Saccharomyces cerevisiae S288C: one gene and its partner. The protein of the gene in region 1 interacts with the protein of each later gene in a biochemical or structural test. Each region holds a gene or a part of one and is shown in the gene's direction. Other genes may lie near its edges.

The links.
Region 2: the proteins of FCP1 (region 1) and TFG1 form a complex in vitro, tested with the Saccharomyces cerevisiae proteins (3 studies listed by BioGRID, with this or other methods).

Annotation. Positions count from the first base shown.
Region 1 is NC_001145.3:818,323-823,530, forward strand, and holds FCP1 (protein serine/threonine phosphatase), read left to right. Parts: upstream 1-1,933; coding exon 1,934-4,132; downstream 4,133-5,208. Other genes in the region: ubiquitin-ubiquitin ligase BUL1, read right to left, coding at 1-259; ubiquitin domain-containing protein DSK2, read left to right, coding at 505-1,626; phosphoribomutase PRM15, read left to right, coding at 4,441-5,208. UniProt on the Saccharomyces cerevisiae protein: Processively dephosphorylates 'Ser-2' and 'Ser-5' of the heptad repeats YSPTSPS in the C-terminal domain of the largest RNA polymerase II subunit (RPB1). This promotes the activity of RNA polymerase II.
Region 2 is NC_001139.9:866,010-870,861, forward strand, and holds TFG1 (transcription factor IIF subunit TFG1), read left to right. Parts: upstream 1-1,764; coding exon 1,765-3,972; downstream 3,973-4,852. Other genes in the region: tyrosine--tRNA ligase TYS1, read right to left, coding at 327-1,511; HGH1 (Hgh1p), read right to left, coding at 4,223-4,852. UniProt on the Saccharomyces cerevisiae protein: TFIIF is a general transcription initiation factor that binds to RNA polymerase II.

The DNA of each region.
Region 1 (5,208 bases):
AATGAGAATGTGCTAGTTCGGGACGTCTTAGTCCAAGGATCCCCGTAGCAGACGCGCTTCTTATCCATGATTTTGGAGAGTGTAACGACGGTGACCTCGAACTGCCTTTACCACCCTCTTGTTTCTGCCTACCACGCCCCCTTGTGTTTGCATTAACGTTCATAGTTGTCGAACTATTTGCGGTAAAATCAGATCGTTGAGGACGCAGCAAAGGCTTCCTCTTCGGTGGAAACCCCGAATCGTTCAAATCTTTGGCCATTTAGCGTACGATATACCTGTTGACACACACGAACAGTCTCTTTTCGCCCTTGCTAAGAGCTTCTTTCCATAATCACTATGCGGCTCTTCATTGCAATACTTTTATCATTATTAAAATAGCCTCTGAGAGCGGGTCACGGCCCGCTGAAGGGAAAGAACAATTTAAAGCCAGTTTTAAGTTCAATCCACCGATGGACGAGAGGCAAATAAGACGGATCAAAGACACCGAATCATTCTAGCACGATAATGTCGTTGAATATACATATCAAGTCAGGACAAGACAAGTGGGAAGTAAATGTGGCACCTGAAAGCACAGTGTTGCAATTCAAGGAGGCGATAAACAAAGCGAACGGTATCCCGGTGGCAAATCAGAGATTGATCTACTCGGGTAAGATTTTAAAGGACGACCAAACCGTGGAGTCATACCACATTCAAGACGGTCACAGCGTCCATCTGGTCAAGTCACAACCCAAACCACAAACCGCCAGTGCCGCTGGCGCAAATAACGCCACCGCCACCGGTGCAGCAGCTGGCACTGGCGCCACCCCGAACATGTCGTCAGGTCAAAGTGCAGGCTTCAATCCGCTGGCCGACTTGACCAGTGCCAGATACGCTGGATATTTGAATATGCCATCTGCAGACATGTTTGGCCCGGACGGTGGTGCATTAAACAACGACTCGAATAACCAAGACGAGCTGTTGAGGATGATGGAAAACCCCATCTTCCAATCGCAAATGAACGAGATGTTGAGTAACCCTCAGATGTTGGACTTTATGATCCAGTCCAACCCGCAATTGCAGGCCATGGGTCCACAAGCCAGGCAAATGCTACAAAGTCCCATGTTTAGACAGATGCTCACCAATCCTGATATGATTAGACAGAGCATGCAATTCGCAAGAATGATGGACCCTAATGCCGGTATGGGCTCTGCAGGTGGGGCTGCCTCTGCCTTCCCCGCTCCTGGTGGCGATGCTCCAGAGGAAGGCTCCAACACGAACACTACTTCCTCATCCAACACAGGGAACAACGCAGGGACTAATGCAGGTACCAACGCAGGCGCTAACACAGCTGCAAACCCATTTGCGTCTCTTCTGAACCCTGCATTAAACCCCTTTGCTAACGCGGGAAACGCTGCATCCACCGGGATGCCCGCCTTCGATCCTGCATTGCTAGCGTCTATGTTCCAACCCCCTGTACAAGCATCTCAAGCAGAAGACACCAGACCACCGGAAGAACGCTATGAACATCAATTAAGACAACTAAACGACATGGGCTTCTTCGATTTCGATAGAAACGTCGCAGCCCTCAGGAGAAGCGGTGGCTCCGTCCAAGGCGCTCTTGATTCACTACTGAACGGCGATGTTTAAATAAACGTCTAGATGCCGCAACCTATATACTTTTACCCTACTCTATCGGCATATATTTAATCTACGTATTACATGTATCCATCAATAATATCATCATAATATCTGGACACTTTTGGAAGACGCGCCCTTGCGAAAGAAAAAAAAAAATTTTCGTTTCACACCTACAGTAATAAACACATAATAACAACGAGCTAATCATCCCAATCAATCACCCCTTCCCCCTTTAATTAGCAGCCAGGGTACTGTATTTAGTCATATAGCGGTACTTGCATTGACCGCGAACGTGTAAACACAAGCAAAGCAGATTATGACCACACAAATAAGGTCTCCCCAAGGCTTGCCGTATCCGATTCAGATCGATAAACTCATTCCAAGCGTAGGTTCGTACCTTCATGAGGGTGATAGGTTGCTTGTCTATAAGTTCTGGTATTTGGTGGAAAGGGCCTCAGACACTGGTGACGATGATAACGAGCACGATGTTTCCCCCGGCGGCAGCGCCGGAAGTAATGGTGTCTCTCCGCCAACCAAACAACTGCGTGAATCCATAGAATTCTTCGAAAGTCCCTACGAGGGGGACTTGATTAGTTGGAATGTAGACGTAGGAGATGAAGTAGCCACTGCTAACCAAGTGATTTGCGAAATAAAAAGGCCATGTAACCATGACATCGTGTATGGCGGGCTATGTACTCAATGCGGGAAAGAAGTTTCTGCAGATGCCTTCGATGGTGTACCACTAGACGTTGTCGGGGACGTGGATTTACAGATTAGCGAGACAGAAGCCATTAGAACAGGCAAGGCATTGAAGGAGCATTTGCGACGGGATAAGAAACTTATCTTAGTGGTGGATTTAGATCAAACCATCATCCATTGTGGCGTGGACCCTACGATTGCAGAGTGGAAGAACGACCCCAATAATCCGAATTTTGAAACATTAAGAGACGTCAAGAGCTTTACGTTGGATGAGGAGTTAGTACTCCCACTTATGTACATGAATGACGATGGTTCTATGCTGAGACCGCCTCCCGTAAGAAAATGTTGGTACTACGTGAAGGTAAGGCCCGGTTTAAAGGAATTTTTCGCTAAAGTGGCGCCTCTTTTTGAAATGCATATCTACACAATGGCTACAAGGGCTTATGCCTTGCAAATTGCCAAAATCGTGGACCCTACGGGCGAATTGTTTGGCGATAGAATTCTGTCGCGTGATGAAAATGGGTCTCTAACAACTAAATCATTAGCTAAACTTTTCCCCACTGACCAGTCAATGGTTGTAGTTATTGACGACAGAGGTGATGTTTGGAATTGGTGTCCAAACTTGATCAAAGTTGTTCCTTATAACTTCTTCGTTGGTGTAGGTGACATTAATTCTAATTTCTTGCCCAAACAATCTACAGGAATGCTACAACTAGGGAGGAAGACAAGACAGAAGAGCCAAGAATCTCAGGAACTGCTGACGGATATTATGGATAACGAAAAAAAACTACAAGAAAAGATAGATAAAGAAGTTAAACGCCAAGAAGAAAAATTGAACCATCAACTGGCGACTGCTGAGGAGCCTCCTGCGAACGAATCCAAAGAAGAGTTGACCAAGAAACTAGAATATTCAGCATCTTTAGAAGTCCAACAACAAAATCGACCCTTGGCCAAACTACAAAAACACCTGCATGATCAAAAACTACTAGTTGATGACGATGATGAACTATACTACTTAATGGGTACGCTATCAAACATTCACAAAACTTATTATGATATGCTCTCACAACAAAATGAGCCAGAACCAAATCTGATGGAAATCATACCAAGTTTGAAGCAAAAAGTCTTCCAAAATTGCTATTTTGTTTTTTCAGGATTAATACCCCTCGGGACCGATATTCAAAGGTCGGACATAGTGATATGGACGAGTACATTTGGTGCCACTTCCACTCCAGATATAGATTACCTGACGACACATTTAATCACCAAGAACCCTAGCACTTATAAAGCGCGTCTAGCGAAAAAGTTCAACCCACAGATTAAAATTGTTCACCCAGATTGGATATTTGAGTGTTTGGTAAATTGGAAAAAGGTGGATGAAAAACCCTACACGTTAATCGTGGACAGCCCCATCTCCGACGAGGAATTACAAAACTTTCAAACACAATTACAAAAAAGACAAGAATATCTGGAGGAGACCCAGGAACAACAGCATATGTTGACATCACAAGAAAATCTAAATTTATTCGCTGCTGGTACTTCATGGTTAAACAATGACGACGATGAAGATATTCCGGACACAGCTAGCGACGACGACGAAGATGACGACCACGACGACGAAAGTGATGACGAAAACAACTCGGAAGGCATTGACAGAAAGAGGAGCATCGAGGACAATCATGATGATACATCACAAAAGAAGACCAAGGCGGAACCTTCTCAAGATGGTCCTGTACAACATAAAGGAGAAGGGGATGACAACGAAGACAGCGATTCGCAGTTGGAGGAAGAGTTGATGGATATGCTGGATGATTAGCAGCTCAGATGCCGTATCTTTCCACACATTTTCCTCATTGGTCTTTGTACCTATAATTGTTCATATTATATATACGTTTGTAACAAATCGATAAATAGCAACAATATTTTTGCTTATTTTGATATCCTGAAATCCTTTTTTTTTTTTTTTTTTTTTTTTTTTTTTTTTTGATTTCATTTCGTTTTTTTTTTTTGAACATTATATATTGTATTGTTTTCTCCCTGTAGCGAGAACTAATTGATTCTTTCTCCTTTCCCCCTAAATACTCAACAGTACTCTCGAGCCATTAGCTGCTGCAATTTCAAAAAATGTTGCAAGGAATTTTAGAAACCGTACCATCTGACTTGAAAGATCCGATATCATTATGGTTTAAGCAAGACCGCAACCCAAAAACTATAGAAGAGGTCACCGCTCTCTGCAAAAAATCCGACTGGAATGAGTTACACAAAAGATTTGATTCTAGAATTCAGTTTGGCACTGCTGGTTTAAGATCGCAAATGCAAGCTGGCTTTAGCAGGATGAATACTTTAGTAGTCATACAAGCGTCTCAGGGATTGGCAACTTATGTAAGACAACAGTTTCCAGACAATTTGGTAGCTGTTGTGGGACACGATCATAGATTCCATTCTAAGGAGTTCGCTAGAGCTACTGCTGCTGCATTTCTTTTAAAAGGATTTAAGGTACATTATTTGAATCCTGACCACGAATTTGTTCATACCCCTTTAGTTCCCTTTGCAGTGGATAAGCTAAAGGCCTCCGTTGGCGTAATGATAACAGCAAGTCACAACCCAAAAATGGATAATGGATATAAAGTATACTATTCCAATGGATGCCAAATCATTCCACCTCACGATCATGCCATCTCTGATTCCATTGACGCAAATTTAGAACCATGGGCCAATGTGTGGGATTTCGACGATGTTCTAAATAAGGCTCTCAAACAAGGGAAATTGATGTATTCCAGAGAAGAAATGCTGAAGTTATATTTAGAGGAGGTTTCTAAAAATCTGGTAGAAATCAACCCATTAAAGCTTGAAGTAAAAGCCAAACCTTGGTTCGTTTACACTCCAATGCAT
Region 2 (4,852 bases), on another chromosome or scaffold:
ATAAAAAGCCCAATGAGGAATAAAGCAGTTTTATTGAGGTGAGACTAAAAGGGTCTAGCAATGAAAACAATATATGTTTCCTTTTTAAAATGTACCAAAGTCTTTATACTCGCTCGTTGATGTACTGGGCGTTATCAAAACTGTTTGCCACTGGGTAGTTGCCTTATGGTCACTATCTGCAAGTTAAATTCAATCGCAAGAGGAAGAGAAAATAAACCGTCGCATCACTTTTCTACACTTACCCGGTTATTAATTTTATAACGTTTATATGATATATCTTTTCTTATTTATTATATTATGAATCGTGAAAACGGATTAAGCTATGCTTACAATTTGGTTTCCTCTAGTTTCGTGGCAATCTCGTTGGTCTTAGTAGCGCCTGGGTACTTAGTACCCTTATTCTTTGGTTTCTTAGCCTTTTTCGACTTTTGTGGTGTGGCAACTGGATAACCCTTTTCGGAGGCCTCTTGAAATTCCTTGTTGTTGGCAAATTCTTGTCTGATTGGCTCCAATAGCTCGTTGATAGCGTCAGCAACACCAATTTTTAGATCAGGTGGGGACAATTTTTCTTCTTTAAAAGCCAATTTCATTTCTTCGAAGGATTTGTAGGTAATTGGACCACCGAACTTTTCTGGTCTATCAATGAAGAATTCGAAGTGATTTGTACCAAACTTCAATTCTTGGATTGGTGCAATGACATATTGGACAAATGACAGTAAACCATTCTCTTCGACGTTACCGGGGCTACAAAATGCACTATTGATCTTTTTCTTAACTTGCTTTGGTTCTTCCAAAAGGTCGATTTTTGAATTCGGATCAGAGGCAGACATTTTACCACCTTGAGCCAAACCTGGAACCATAGGGTTCATTAAATGTGCTCTTTTCTTGTAGCCCAAACTTGGTAAATTTTCTTCCGCTAAGACAAAAATTTTTCTCTGGTCGACACCACCAAATTGGCAATCAACATCTAAGAATTGTTCGTCCAACGCTTGCATTAAAGGATAGATAAGCCCACTCAATAATGGATTGGCGACTTGCTTGACAACATCAGCGCCTGCCCTTTTAGCATCGTTTTGTGAAACAATGTTGGATAATCTAAAGATATCCATGGTATAGTCTGGAGTTAGCTGGTAAGAAGAGCCAACAACAAATTTTAGCTTTTCAATTGGAACATTGATGCTTCTCAAGATAGCTTTGATGGTCAATTCATAGTATTTGGCCCTATAGTTCACCACTTCCAATGGCGCCTTCATGTTGTCCAAAAAGGCGTGCAAGTCTGCTAAAAGAACAGTCACTTCACAACCTGCTTTCAAGAAATCAGCAAGCTTGGTCATAGGAACAAAATAACCACAATGAGGTCTTCCAGTGGGCGCGGTACCCCAGTATAATTTCAAATGTCTCTTTTGTACTTCGAGAACATCTTTGATGATTTGTGGGTTCAAGACTTCTTGCAAGTTCTTGGTAATGAGACCGAACGCCTCATTAGGGTCAACCGTGGCAGCAGAGGACATGTTATCGTCAATTAGAGTATGCGGTTATGGATGCTAATCTCTTTTTGACAATGACTAATTTGTATTCTGAAGAAAGAACAATTAATTTTCATAAAATTTTTCTACTTTGTAAATGTTCGAGTTCCGTTCTTAGTGATGCTCGAATAAGGACCTTCTCGCCTCCATGATAAAATAAAAATTATGATAGTAAGAAGTATGGATGGTTCGAAAGGTTGAAGAATAGCTAGGGAGGCCTATTCGAGTAAGCGCAAGGATGTCCAGACGCAATCCACCAGGCAGTAGAAACGGGGGAGGTCCGACGAATGCCTCTCCCTTCATTAAAAGAGACAGAATGAGAAGAAATTTCCTGAGGATGAGAATGGGTCAAAACGGCAGCAATTCTAGTTCCCCAGGCGTACCAAATGGAGACAACAGCAGGGGATCTCTTGTCAAAAAGGATGATCCTGAGTATGCTGAAGAGAGAGAGAAAATGCTTTTGCAAATCGGTGTCGAGGCCGATGCTGGCAGGAGCAATGTTAAAGTAAAGGACGAAGATCCTAATGAATATAATGAATTTCCCTTAAGAGCTATTCCAAAGGAGGATTTAGAAAACATGAGGACACATCTTTTGAAGTTTCAGAGTAAAAAAAAGATAAACCCTGTAACAGACTTCCATCTTCCCGTAAGACTGCATAGGAAGGATACGAGAAACTTGCAGTTTCAGCTAACAAGAGCAGAAATTGTTCAAAGGCAAAAAGAAATTTCTGAGTATAAAAAAAAAGCAGAGCAAGAAAGAAGTACTCCTAACTCGGGTGGTATGAATAAATCAGGAACGGTCTCGCTCAATAATACTGTTAAAGATGGGTCTCAGACACCTACTGTTGATTCAGTTACTAAAGACAACACGGCCAACGGTGTGAACTCCTCCATTCCTACTGTAACTGGCTCTTCTGTCCCTCCTGCTAGTCCTACTACTGTATCCGCCGTTGAAAGTAATGGACTGTCAAATGGTTCAACTAGTGCAGCTAACGGTTTGGATGGCAATGCATCTACAGCGAATCTAGCTAACGGAAGGCCGTTAGTGACAAAACTAGAGGATGCAGGCCCAGCTGAAGACCCTACTAAAGTTGGAATGGTCAAGTACGACGGAAAAGAAGTGACTAACGAACCGGAATTTGAAGAAGGAACTATGGATCCACTAGCAGATGTGGCACCAGATGGAGGCGGTAGGGCCAAACGAGGAAATTTGAGAAGGAAAACTCGTCAATTAAAAGTTCTTGATGAGAACGCCAAAAAGCTGAGATTTGAGGAATTTTATCCATGGGTTATGGAAGATTTTGATGGGTACAATACATGGGTGGGTTCTTATGAAGCAGGTAACTCAGATTCTTATGTCTTGTTAAGTGTAGAAGATGATGGAAGTTTTACCATGATTCCTGCTGATAAGGTTTATAAGTTTACCGCAAGAAATAAATATGCTACTTTGACCATTGACGAAGCAGAAAAAAGAATGGACAAAAAAAGTGGTGAAGTGCCACGTTGGTTGATGAAGCATTTGGATAATATAGGTACAACTACAACTAGATATGACAGAACAAGAAGAAAGCTTAAAGCCGTCGCTGATCAACAAGCTATGGATGAAGATGATCGTGATGACAATTCAGAAGTAGAGTTAGATTATGATGAAGAGTTTGCCGATGATGAGGAGGCACCTATTATAGATGGTAATGAACAAGAAAATAAAGAATCAGAACAAAGAATCAAGAAGGAGATGCTGCAAGCTAATGCGATGGGGCTTCGTGATGAAGAAGCTCCTTCCGAAAACGAAGAAGATGAGTTATTTGGGGAAAAGAAGATTGATGAGGATGGTGAAAGAATTAAGAAGGCATTACAAAAGACAGAACTTGCAGCACTATACTCATCGGATGAAAATGAGATCAACCCATACTTATCTGAATCCGATATTGAAAACAAAGAGAATGAATCGCCCGTTAAAAAGGAAGAAGATTCGGACACTCTATCCAAATCCAAGAGATCTTCTCCAAAGAAACAGCAAAAGAAAGCTACAAATGCGCATGTGCATAAAGAGCCAACTTTGAGGGTGAAAAGTATTAAAAACTGTGTCATTATCTTGAAGGGGGATAAGAAAATACTGAAAAGCTTCCCAGAGGGAGAATGGAATCCACAGACGACAAAAGCTGTAGATAGTAGTAATAATGCATCGAATACAGTGCCTTCGCCAATCAAACAAGAGGAAGGCTTGAATTCTACAGTGGCAGAAAGGGAAGAAACTCCAGCGCCTACAATAACAGAAAAAGATATCATCGAGGCTATTGGTGATGGCAAAGTCAATATCAAAGAGTTTGGAAAGTTCATCAGAAGAAAATATCCTGGCGCAGAGAATAAAAAGCTAATGTTTGCCATTGTAAAAAAATTGTGTCGAAAGGTTGGCAATGACCACATGGAATTAAAGAAAGAGTAGGTTAGTTTATAATGTTATGTACTTAATAGGTTATTTAGTTTTCGTTCTTTTCATTCTTTCCTTTTTCTTTCCATTTAATCTTATGTAGTTACATTATACTGTCATTTTAGTTGCAGTAAGTATACTTTTTTATCTAGTCTTTTTTTCTGCCTTTTTTTTGAGAAAAGACTCAGAATTCTACTAAACTCTAATATATTGTTATTTCTGTATTATACAATTCTATGCTATGTGAACTGTCCTTGAAAGTGACCTAGGCCACTTCGACAATTTCATCTTCTTCGTCGTCATCTTCTTCTTCTTCACTCTCCTCCTCTTCTTCCTCTTCCGCATTCTTTGATGGCATCTCTTCCACTGCTCCCGCACCTGGCTCGCCTCTCATTAACATATTAACAATTCTGTAACATAATTCACCAATATCTTCATTCTCAACGTTTTTATGCAGCTCCCTCACTAGTGGATAAACGGACTTGTCTCTTAAGTATTCTCTTCCAGCATGCGTTGTACATAGCAAAAGAATACTTTCTAAATGACAGCATATAATTGCAGGAATCGGGTCTCTTTCCTTGTCCTCTGGTAATAATTGAAGTTCATCTGGTAAATTGAACATATCTTCCTCATCAATTTCAGAATCTTTAGCACTAGCAATAGGTAGCAGGATGTAAGGCAACAAGTTTATTTTTTCATCTTTGAGTAACCTTTCATGAGTTTCAGAATCAAATAGGGAATTTTTAATTGTGGAAGCGACACCTTCTCTTCTTACCTTTGCATCATATTTTTCGGTAAATACTAGCAATTTTGAAATAGGAACAACCCCATCGTATTCCTGCTCTTCAATAAAATACATCCTGCCCAATTTAAACCTCGAGATATCCGCAAAAAA